Linked DNA regions of Rattus norvegicus. The protein of the gene in region 3 binds, or shares a complex with, the protein of the main gene of each other region. Links are inferred from orthologs where the notes say so. Each region holds a gene or a part of one and is shown on either strand. Other genes may lie near its edges. The genes, in order: Anp32e, Epc1 and Brd8.

Region 1 (3,649 bases), on a different chromosome or scaffold from region 3:
TCATGGCAGCCTGAGCTACAGAGTGAGACCCTATTCTGAAGAGGTAAACTTAACCAGAGGGATGGATTTCCTCCCAGCAGTTACACTGTGGCCCACATCTGTACTTCCAGCTCTATGGGATCCTATTCCTCTTCTGGCCTCTGCAATCACCATTCATACACGCAGTACAGACACATCCAGACAAAATAACCATACTATATAATAAACAGCAGCCCTCCTAAGGAGAAGGTACAACGCAGTCAAACCTACCATCTCTGCCTTTCACCTGTAAGCAGCAATGGTCTCTGAAGCGCGACTGGCACTTAGCTCCTAAAAGCGAGAGCTCTGGAGTTGCCTGGTTTGTTCTGACCGAGGTTCCTCTGTAGCCTGGACTACCCTACAGCACAGTAGGCCGCCTATGCTATCACTAACTCCTGCAATTCTACTGCCTTGCCTCCGGGACACCTGGGATTATGGTCCTGAGCTACCCCACCCCCGGCTAAGACTTCATTTTGAGCATCTAAGCTGTCCCATGTGGAATGAAAGGCTTCCTCGTCCTGCAAAACTCAATGCTGTGTGTACTTAAGAGGTTTCTGACCTAGGCTCGGCCATGGCATTTTGAGTTAGTATCACCAAAAATCCAGCAGAACAATATACCTACATGTCAATCAACGCAGGTCACTGAAAGGAACGTTTAAGGCAAGAGTGATGGGAGGCCCTCAGGAGGAAGACCACCAACTCAGTGCAGCCTGGGATGCAGATTAAAACCTGCAATATCCTACACACCTCTCAAAACAAAACCTTCAAAGCACCTACCATTTACACTCAGGGAGGATATCCCTGGCAGAAAATCCAAAGAATCAAATCCAAAGAACTATCACGCTGTATGATGGTGTAAACTAAAGAGAGGCTTCAGTTTCTCTTCATTACTGTGCAGCAGTTAACGACTCATAAAGATCCAAAGAAGCCTCATGCCTTATTCTTGTGCATTTATTTCAAATTTAAAAGATTATTGGAAGGAGATGGAGACATGGCTCAACTGGCTAATCCAGGTTCAGTTCCCAATGCCCACATAACAGCTCACTACCATTTGTAACTCCAGTTCTAGGAGACTCAAGAACCAATCACACTCATGGTACACAGACATACACGTGAGCGTTCACTGATACACATAAAATAAATCTTAAAAATGTCAGGTAAGTGTACTATCACTGAGCTATATCCCTAGCATTGAGAGATGTTTAAAAGAAACAAGTATTTCAAATTGTGAAAATAAAACTTACTTTAACATAACGAGAAGGTAACTTCTCTAAACTCCCAGGGGTTAAGGATCACTCATTCTACTTCCCACTCAATGTACTAGCTGTTAGATTAACAGCCCCCATGTAAAGAACTCACCACTCGATAAAAAGCAGAGAGGTTTTTACGAGACCATCTCCAGGTAACAAAGCCTAATCAAGATTAAGGGTAGCAGAGAATGAAGGGCAGGCCTGTATGCGTCAGTGGCAAGAGAGAGACATGACAGCACACCGCGGAGGGTAACGAGTGTCTCTGCATACCCGGGCACAGTGGAAGACATCCCTGCTCAGAGCTGTCCTAGGTAGAGACCGCTCAGAAAGCTAATGCAGGTAGTGGTTGGTACCTAAGCCCGTGGTTAAGACTCTTCAGTTTCCAACACTGTGGTGCCCACTGTAAGTGCAGCTCCACAGCACCCTCTTCTGGCTTCCACAGGCAACTGCATCCACACACCACATTCACAAACAGGTGCACACACAATTTTTTTTTTAACTAAAAAAAGGAAGAAAAGCTACTGCAGGAGCATAAAGAGATAACTGAAGGTAAGAAATCTCAGGTCTCTGCAATGGATCAACCAGGAACTAGGTGTTTTATAGATATCCCCTTGTTAAAGCAACTCCATGAGCTTGCAAATGCAGGAAGGGGCTCAGACATTCAGAAAATGTTTAGACATTCACAAAATGTTCCAGCATCCCGTGACACTAAAGGCAGAGTCAATTCACACACTTAGGAGATAAAGAGCAGGCAATGACAGTTCCTACCAGTGGCCATGAGATTCGGTTGACTCTGCCCACCTTTCTGAAACCCAAGTCAAAAGAGGCAACTTTTCCTTTTTCTCATTCTTTCTGAATGCTGGCCAGAGCCCAATTACACCTTTTCTGACTCCGTGGGCTTCCACACCCCTTCCCTGCCCTGTGACCGCTGGTCTGACATTGTCCAACCTCAATGCCAGCTTTAGCACCATAATGGCTTTTTTTTCCCCCTTCTTCCCTCCACTCTCTTCCCAGGAGCTGCTGAGGCTTATGGCTCACCTGCCCCGAGAGTTTTTAAACAACAATTGTAATTGAGCTAAAAACACAAACAAAAAACCAAGCGTTTATAGCTATCTGGACATATTATGGAACACCCAGGAGGAGGGAGAGAAAAGACAGATGCTTATCCACACGTCAGGAAACGACTCACAACCTACTCCTCACAGCACTTAGCCCTGTGCCAACTGTCTTCAGGGCGAATAGCAAGTTTCCATTCACCTGAATTTCTTCTTTCATTAAGTATGAGAGGCCCACCTCCTCTTCTCCCTCTCCTACTTCTGAGCCAGCTTCATCCTCATCCTCATCCTCATCTTCGTATCCTTCAGGTGGACCAGCTTCATCTTCTTCCTCATCTTCCTCATCCTCATCTCCATCTTGAAAAAACATTGTAAAACGTGAGCGAGTATCTGGACAAATCTGTCTTCCTGGTACATGGCCCTCCTCACTCTTGCCCAAATCATTCCAACACCTTAATCTAATTGTGGCGAGTGCCACCAAGTGCCCCTACCCTGCTTAAAAAAAAATCCCGGCCAGGCAATAGCAGTGCACACTTTAATCCCAGCACTGGGGAGACAGGCAGGTGGTTCTAAGTTTGAGGCCAACCTGATCTACAGAGTTCCAGGACAGCAGAGAGACCCTGTCTCGATAAAACAAAACAAAAAGCCCCAAACCCATCCATTTACAGCACTGTTACATGTCACCCAAGAAGTGCCCTTCCTAGGCCTGGGGATCCAGGTCAGCACATAGCTAGCACGTGTGAGGATGGCCCCATCCTGGCACTGGAAAGGACCTTTCCAAAATAGATTTTCAAACATTATACACACTGAAGTTGGTTTTACTTTGTGGTCATTTCAAAGCCTGCTTGTTGACAGGCATGGTGCACACCTTTGATCCCAGCACACAGTGGGCAGAGGCAGGTGGTTCTCTAAGTCTGGGGCCAGCCTGGTCTACATAGTGAGTTCCAGAACAGCCAGCGTTCTGTAGAGACACCCTATCTCAAAACGAATGAGAAACAGAAATAGAAGCCTTACCCTCGTCCTCCTCCTCCTCCTCTGAGTCGGGCGCTTCATTGTCCTCCTGATCAAATCCGTCCAAGTATGTGATTTGTTGCAGCAGTTCGAAAATACTTTCTCTGTAATCTTCCAGGTTTGTGATCTCACAGTTAAACAAGTCAAGACTTTTCAAATTTTTAAGATTTTGCTGAAAAAGTAAAGTTCAAGGCTACAATCAAGATCTTAAACACTGTGTTCTCCAGTTTTAATGAAGGATGTGAGAACATACACTTGGAGCCAAAGAACAACTTTTCACACTTTTAGGGTTCTAAGGCCATCCCCCAAATACAG
Region 2 (3,649 bases), on a different chromosome or scaffold from region 3:
CAAGTGCTTGAACTATTAAAAGAGGCTCAGGCAACCCTCTGGTGGCCCCCCTACCCTCAGAGGGTCAGTCTCAGTTTCCCCTAATAATCTACATTTGCTCTGTTCAAAACAAACATTTGCTTAAAAGACTTAAAAGTGTATGTGTATGTGCAGGTGTCTTCAAAAGCCAGAGACTGTCAGACCCCCTGGAACTGGAATTACAGAACTGTATGCCATCTCACGTAGGTGCTGGCAACTCAACTGCACCCAGGTCCTCTGCAGGAACAATGGGCACTCCTAACTGCTCACCCAGCTCTCCAGCCAGACAACAAAACAGTTTGAATGAAAATTTAAATAAGAAAATGTTCAAAACAGCAGGCCTATTCCACTAATGACTCTGTCTTGACTTAGAAGGATTTAAGGTAAACCAGAACCACATGCATGGCTCATGTCTCTGGAACATACAGACGAACAATGAATGTTGTACAATTAGAATCCGAGTTAAATCCCAAAATATAAAAATCAAAGTAACACCTTTGAAGTGATTTGTAAGGCCATATATTTCAGACAGGTGGACAATAGACTTCAATATAAAAACAAGGAAAACTGTACTATGCAGGACTGGAAATTATGAGCACACAAGTATTTGGAACATGGCCTTTAGCATTTTTTTTTTTTTTTTTTTTTTTTTTGGCAGAGGTAATTGGATAGAGGTGTTTCACTGAGTAGCCTTGGCTAGCCTGAAACTCACTATGTAGACCAGGCTGTGTCTCAACCTCAAGAGATCTGCCAGGCACAGCTTCTGCTGGGATTAATAGCCACCATTTGTGATTACCAAAGAGAATACTTCTATTTATCTGTTCAACAGTTCAATACTTCAAAACCAACATGTTTGAAATAGTCTTGGTCAGTGCTCTGATAGGGAAAAAGTCTATGCTGCAGAAACCACCATTCCAAATGGTACGGTAAATTATACACCAAATTATAAAAAAAAAAAAAAATCACAGACACAAAATATTAAACAGAACAGGTTAGATAATAAATGATTAGCAGATCACATTATTTCCTCAATTGAAATGGAATGCTAAGTCTGAGTTAAATGATACATGTTAGGTCACAAGTATATGAAAACCTTCCCTGCTAAGGTGCATTTATCAGAAAGGCACACTGCCGGCTCTCTCTTATTCCCCTGGTTTTCTCCTTACTAATTTTATTTCCCCCTCACCAATTTTACTCTTCACAAATTAGGACATATCAACTTGTCAAAGTATTTCCACTTCTGCCCACGTTACCAGCCGTTGACAAGACCCGCCTGACACTGACACACAGATGTGGCCCAGAACGTTACACTGGGTGGAAGGCTTCATGCTCTCTCCAGGCCTCCATACCACTAACCACACCAACATTTCATACCCCCTCTCAGCAAACCCCTCTTTTTATCAGACAGAGAGCAAAGCCTTCCCTTGTAAGGAAGCAAGGGAAATTAAATTGTCGTGAAAAGCTCCCCATTTTTAGTGTCCCTTATTTTCAGTGTTCAGAAATCCCTTGCGGTAGGAATTCATGGTTTTCCCTGTTTACTGGATCTACTGTTACAAAGCTCTAATAACCTTGTTAACTTTGAACTCCTTCGCATCCGTGACGTCCTGGTGTTTGAACTGGCTGCTGTTAGTAATCGGGATGATGGGGATGGCATAGGTAGGCTTCACTGGCTGTCTCTGTGCCATGACCTCAGACATGATCTCTCCACTGTAGTCACCTAAATTATACCTGAAATTACAAAGGGAACTTTAAGCTATACACAGAGTACAATGAGATGCTTCCATACACACTGTGAAATGATCTACAGTCCAACTAACTAACTCACTCACTCACTCAACAGCCACCTCCTCGGGTACCGTGTGTGCCTGCTGTAGGTGGGGTAACATACGACTTTCAACGCACGTGCTACTCAACAGTGGCCCTAAATGCATATGGGTACGTTGCCGACTTGTATGTCTGTGCACCATGTGTGTGCCATGCCCATGTGGCCAGAGAGGATACTGGACCCCTGGACCTAAGCTTAACAGAAAGTCGTTAGATGTCACAGGGTACTGAGCATCAAACCAGGTTCTTTACAAGAGAACCTCTGAAGCACCTCCTGCAGGCACGAGCCACCATGCCTGGCTCACCTGGCTCAAACCCAGAGCTGCATGCTTGACAGGCGCACTCTACTGATGGGGCTAACGCCTGAGCCGTCCAGTCTTAGCTCGGCTCAGGGCTGAAATGCCTCAAGCAGTGCCAAAAACACCTTGCCAATTAGGACTGTCTGTGCTACAAAAGTACTTTCTTTTTTATGAAAGAATCATAAGAAATTTAAGTGTGTTTTTTTTTGGGGGGGGGGAGGAGCTGAGAAGCAGGGCCTTGAGAACGAGCTTTTATGTACATGTCATGTGCATGGCACTAAGTGGTCATCTGAGTATCATGGTGCTGAGGGAGCTCAGGGAAATGTTTGCCTGGGTTGTGCAGGGCCCTGGGTTTTGTCTCTAGTACTAAAAATCCCCCACAAACCCACAAAACACTACAAATAAACTACTAGCAGTCACACACACTCTCATACAGCCACACAACTCAAAAATAATAAAATATCTCTCAATAGAAACACCTGATGTGCTGTTAGTGAGCCCAATCACCTTGCAAGAAAATTAAGACAGAATTGTGTATAAAATTTCACAGTTTAACCCACAGTCTCTATTAAAGAAAATGTTTCTGAAACTTCGGATTAGGAAAACACGATGGTCCTGGCACTGAGAACTTGCTTCACCTCTTCTCCATAATCTCCAGTGTCAGGTGCAGCAGCTCCCGTTTACTTTTCTCACGTCTCTTGATCATCTCCAGGATGGTGACAGCCCGGCTGAGATCCCGGCGCAGCTTAAGCATTTTCTCATAGGAGGCTTCATCGTTTTTGCGATTCTGGAAATATAAAGCTACTTGCTTAACATCAGGAAGCACTTCTCATTCTTGGCACATAAAAGTGTATGGATCTGTAGGGCTACAGCTTAAAGACACCGGAGAGGAACACAGACCACCAAGATACCAATTCCAGACCTGGTTTTTAAGTGAATCAGTATTAATATATATTAAGACCTCCATTAAAAACTCTAAAGGTCAACTACTTTTACTAATTTCTCGTGTAATTAAAAAAGTTAGTGTGTGTGTGTGTGTGTGTGTGTGTGTGTGTGTGTGTGTGTGTGTGTGTGTGTACAAGTGCCCCCAGGTCCAAAGTGGGGCACTAGAATCTTTGGAGCAGGAGGAGTCACGAGTGCTTATGAGCTGCCTGATATGGGTACAGGAATTGCAATACTGTCCTCTGATAGAGAAACAAAAGCTCAGAACCACTGAGCAACCCCTCTAGTATAATTTTAAGGAATATTATGTAAAAGCACAGAATTAAGTCACAAAATTAAGGTATTAATAATTTTTCATAAAATTAAAAAATTTACTTACTTTTCGAGTTTGCATTTTCTCAGTTCGTCTTCTAAAAGCCACATAAGGATCATTTGTGCTAGAACCATCTCGTTTTTCCTGTTTTACCGACGGGATAAGTGATGGCCCCCGGCAGGTTTTCCTCTTTTTAATCCAGTATTCATAAACTTCTCTAATTAACTCATCATCTTCTTTTAGAAGTAGTTTG
Region 3 (4,273 bases):
AGGGGTTGAGAGCATATTTTGCTGCTTCCACATAGACTCCAAATCTGTTCTAGAAACCCATGTCAGCCAGATGTTTCATAACTGCCTACAACTCCAGGGGATCTGATGTCCTCTTCTGGCTCCCAAGGGATTCTGCACTGATATGCCCAAATAACCCCAATACACAGATAAACATACTTAATTTTTGAAATAATAAAGAAAATGGTTTGGCAGTTCCTCAAAAAAAAAAAAGAAAGAAAGAAAGAAGGAAAGAAAGAAAGAGAGAAAAAGACCTAGAGCTACCATATGAAGACCTAATTCTGTCCCAAGGTGGCAGTCCAAATGTCAGGTAATGAATATGTAGTTGACTGTCCATAGCCAGGAGATGTGCATTCTTGGATTTCCTCAGCCTGGGACATTACAGCCATGTCCAAAACCAAAAAGCTATCTGTACTTGTACGCCCTAAACCAGTGACTTCAATCTTCCTAAAGCTTCGTCCCCTTTTACAGTTTCTCATGCTGTGGTGACCCCCAATCATAACATTATTTTTGTTGCTACCTCACAATTATAATTTTGCTACCATTATGAATTATAATGTAAATATTTTTCTAGACAGAGGTTTACCAAAGTGTCACCACCCACAGGTTCCTCTGCCCTAAACCATTCACATGCTATTTCATTGCATTAGGTAATATAATCCAGAGATAATCTGGAGTATTCAGGAGGACAGGTGTTGGTTATATGCAAATATGGGATCTTATGTAAAGGAACTGAGCCACCACCATCTTTACCCCTCAAGGGTGCTGGGACTCAGTCTCCATGGGTATGGAAGGGATGGTTGGTTCATGTTTTCATCTGGCCAATACTAGAAAAGTATTCATATGTTACATGTGAATAAACCTTGAAGAGTGGTATGTTAACTGACTAAAAAGCTGGTCCCAGAAGACTACATATTATACCTAAAGGATAGCCAAGTCTAGGAAAAGTAGATTGCTCAGGGAAGAGAGGGAGTGGTAAATGTAGAGACTTTCTTATTTTATGTATATGAGTACACTGTTGCTATCTTCACACACACACCAGAAGAGGGCGTCAGATCCCATCACAAATGGTTGTGAGACACCATGTGGTTTCTGGGAGTTGAACTCAACCTCTGGAAAAGCAACCAATGCTTTTAAACTCTGAGCTATCTATCTAGCCAGACTTAGTTTAAAGATTAAAGAAACTTCTTAAATTGCAGGGACGGCTGCACAAGTTTGTGAAAATAGAAGAAACCACCACTATTTTCCCTGCCAGTAGGCTCATTTTATGCTTTATGATTTGTATTTTGGTAAAGCTGACCTCTACATAAAGCTTAAGGTAACTTAAGGAATACACTGAGGTGAAAAATACTTAGTCCTGGCTAGCCTGATCCCATATGTCTTTAACTCCAGTACTAAGAAGGCAGAGGCAGGCATTCTGAGTTCAGGCTAGCCTGGTCTACAGGATGAATTCTAAGATAACCATGGCCACACAGAGAAAACCTGTTACAAAAACAAACAAAAGAACAAAGAGAAAGATACTCAGCCCAACGGGTCAAGAAAGCAGATATCTGGGGTTGGGGATTTAACTCAGTGGTAGAGCGCTTGCCTAGGAAGCGCAAGGCCCTGGGTTCGGTCCCCAGCTCCGAAAAAAAGAACCAAAAAAAAAAGAAAGCAGATATCTGGGGTTGGGGATTTAGCTCAGTGGTAGAGCGCTTGCCTAGGACGCGCAAGGCCCTGGGTTCGGTCCCCAGCTCCAAAAAAAAAAAAAAAAAAAAAAAAAAGAACCAAAAAAAAAAAAAAGGCAGATATCTTAGATTCCTTACCAGTTCTGATCCCCACTCCTCATAACAGAAGATGCTAAACACAACTTCTCTCGGATGGACCATGGTTCTGTCGGGCCAGTACTCAGCAGCTTGTGCTCTGGAAATAGAGAAAGCTCAGAAACAACCTCCGAACTAGTTCTGAGCCCCAGAACAGCTAAAAGTCTGATATAAACCAACACCCCAGGCAAATTGTGGAGTGGTAATTCTGGTTCTCAGGAAGCAGAAGCAGACAGATTTCTGTGAGGCTAGCCTGGTCTGCATAGTGTGTTCCAGGTCAGCCAGGATCAGTCACACAATAAAACCCTGTCTCAAATAAATCTTAAATTAGTTCGAACAATGTGAACTACTATTATCAATTATAATCACCAAATCTTGAGTTTTCACCATTCCAATGAAATATTACCATTATTGACCAGGGTGCTTTCATTGAATACACATTTATAGAACATTGTGTTTAAATGCCATAGCTTCAAGGTGTTCTGCTTCCAAAAGAAAAAAAAAAAAAAAAAAAGAAACTGGCAGTGTTACGTTAAAATAAGGTTCTCATTAAAAAAAAAAAAGTTTTAAAATTGTTTGAACTCGGGCGTATTTCCCAAGATTCCAATCGGCCACCGGCTCCTACTGCCCACCTCCTTTTTTGCATAAAGTTGTTTACATCTCAGCTCCTCCCCCCAATCGTCGGGTATAAAGAGTTCGTTGGTGAAACTGAAAAAATGGCTGAAATACACGAGATGAGTTTCCCCCGGTGTCAGGAAACGCCTACATCAGCAGATAATCATTTCGACTGCTTCTCACAGCCTGGTTAGATAAACAAATGAGTCGCTGGCCACTTCATACTACCTTTATGTTTTACCCCAGAGAGCGTCTAGCACACAAAGGCTTCCTAGGCTGTTTTTCACCAGCTTCCGATTCCTCCCACCACTGTTAAAACCCCAGGTGGTGGTTCTGAAAGCGACGTGAAAGGCAGGTCTCTGAGTTTTGCGCTCTCTAACAACCCACTCCTTCCGCTCCTTTCGTGCCTGAGAAATGGAATGCCTAGTCTGGACTCTACAAAGGCCTTGACCATAAAAGCTGCTCCGATACTCACTGCCTGTCCCGGTCGCCATTTTGGCTCCGACGTCTTCAACGATTGCGACAGACGCGAGGAACTCTGGGAAAAACTGTATGAGTCCGTTCGCGGTGCCTCGTGGGTAATGTGGGTGGGTCTGTTTCCTAATAGACGCGAAATCCCTCTAGGAAAAATTTTCTTTTTAACTAATAAAGGACAAGCTGAAGCCTCCGAAATGAAACGTCTAGGTTTAGAACTAAGTGAAACGAACCCAATAACGAACACCTTGGAAGTGACAGTTGGTAACCCGGACCCACATTGAAAGCAAACGGTCTTCCGGTCGCCTCTGCTCACTCCCTTTTGCTGATTGGTTCCTTCAGCCTTCGCTTTCTGATTGGTCGGATAAGCTCAGCGCGCATTTTAAAACATTGTATGAGGAACAAAGCTGTTCCTCGTGGGCGGAGTTGTGTTCTCCGTAGCAGGAGTCGTGGGTCTCAGCTGGGTAGAAGCTGGGAATCAGAGAAGCAGCGAAGCAGGCTGTCTTCAGGTGAGTGCAATTGGGATGGAACTCCGGTTATCAGAGTGCAATTGGGGATGGAACTCCGGTTATCAGCTGTTGCTTGCATATCGTAGTCCTCAGAAAGCTCCTAGGTCTTTCATAATTTCCTAGTTCTCGTGGTCTTTGGAGTGAGTACCCTTTGGAAAAGTACCCTTGGGATCTGAAACACACATGCATTGGCAGGCCTGGACAGCCTCTGTGGAGCGTGGCCTTCTGTTCTTCGTGCCTATTCACCTTCAGAAATGCAGCTTCGGGCTGATTTAGTTGTTCTCATTCTCTTCCCCTTGGCTGTAAAGGTGTATAGTCTCGACCAAAGCAAGGACGTCGCTTTTTAACCAGGGGACTGTTTAACCTAAGTTTGCAGTTTTTGTGCGTTAATGTTCTACCCATCTACTCTTGTCTCTTTTTAGACATAGACTGACCCTGCTTGTCATGTCTCACGGGATCCTTTCTCCGCCAGTGGGCTTACTCTCTGATGAGGATGTTGCAGACTCCCCCGTGTTAGAGTCCACAGCTGCAGATCTGAGGTCTGTGGTCCGAAAGGACCTGTTGTCAGATTGCTCTGTCATCTCGGCCTCTCTGGAGGACAAACAGGTAAAGGAGTTCTGTGGCTTAGGAGCAGAAAATGGTATCTTCAGCTTAACAGTTATTTATACAAGGTAGTATGAGATCAAAGGCTAGTAATTCCTGACAGAGGCAGAAAATAGCGCGGATCTCTGTTAGTTCAAGCCCAGCCTGGTTGACCAAGTGAGTTCCAGGACAGCCACGACCACCCAGGGAAGCCCTATCTTGAAAAACCAAGGGGCTGGGGATTTAGCTCAGTGGTAGAGCGCTTGCCTAGGA

The links.
Region 1: Brd8 (region 3) and Anp32e share a complex: the UniProt entries of both Homo sapiens proteins name them as parts of the SWR1-like complex. The link is inferred for Rattus norvegicus from reciprocal best matches to the Homo sapiens genes BRD8 and ANP32E.
Region 2: Brd8 (region 3) and Epc1 share a complex: the UniProt entries of both Homo sapiens proteins name them as parts of the nuA4-related complex. The link is inferred for Rattus norvegicus from reciprocal best matches to the Homo sapiens genes BRD8 and EPC1.

What each region holds. Positions count from the first base shown.
Region 1 is NC_086020.1:186,168,077-186,171,725, reverse strand, and holds part of Anp32e (acidic leucine-rich nuclear phosphoprotein 32 family member E), read right to left. Parts: intron 3,507-3,649; coding exon 3,338-3,506; intron 2,681-3,337; coding exon 2,526-2,680; intron 1-2,525. UniProt on the Homo sapiens protein: Histone chaperone that specifically mediates the genome-wide removal of histone H2A.Z/H2AZ1 from the nucleosome: removes H2A.Z/H2AZ1 from its normal sites of deposition, especially from enhancer and insulator regions.
Region 2 is NC_086035.1:59,212,956-59,216,604, forward strand, and holds part of Epc1 (enhancer of polycomb homolog 1), read right to left. Parts: coding exon 3,463-3,649; intron 2,929-3,462; coding exon 2,780-2,928; intron 1,747-2,779; coding exon 1,587-1,746; intron 1-1,586. UniProt on the Homo sapiens protein: Component of the NuA4 histone acetyltransferase (HAT) complex, a multiprotein complex involved in transcriptional activation of select genes principally by acetylation of nucleosomal histones H4 and H2A.
Region 3 is NC_086036.1:26,501,060-26,505,332, forward strand, and holds the start of Brd8 (bromodomain-containing protein 8), read right to left. Parts: upstream 2,948-4,273; 5' UTR 2,930-2,947; coding exon 2,911-2,929; intron 1,921-2,910; coding exon 1,824-1,920; intron 1-1,823. Other genes in the region: kinesin-like protein KIF20A, read left to right, coding at 3,863-4,024. UniProt on the Homo sapiens protein: May act as a coactivator during transcriptional activation by hormone-activated nuclear receptors (NR). Isoform 2 stimulates transcriptional activation by AR/DHTR, ESR1/NR3A1, RXRA/NR2B1 and THRB/ERBA2.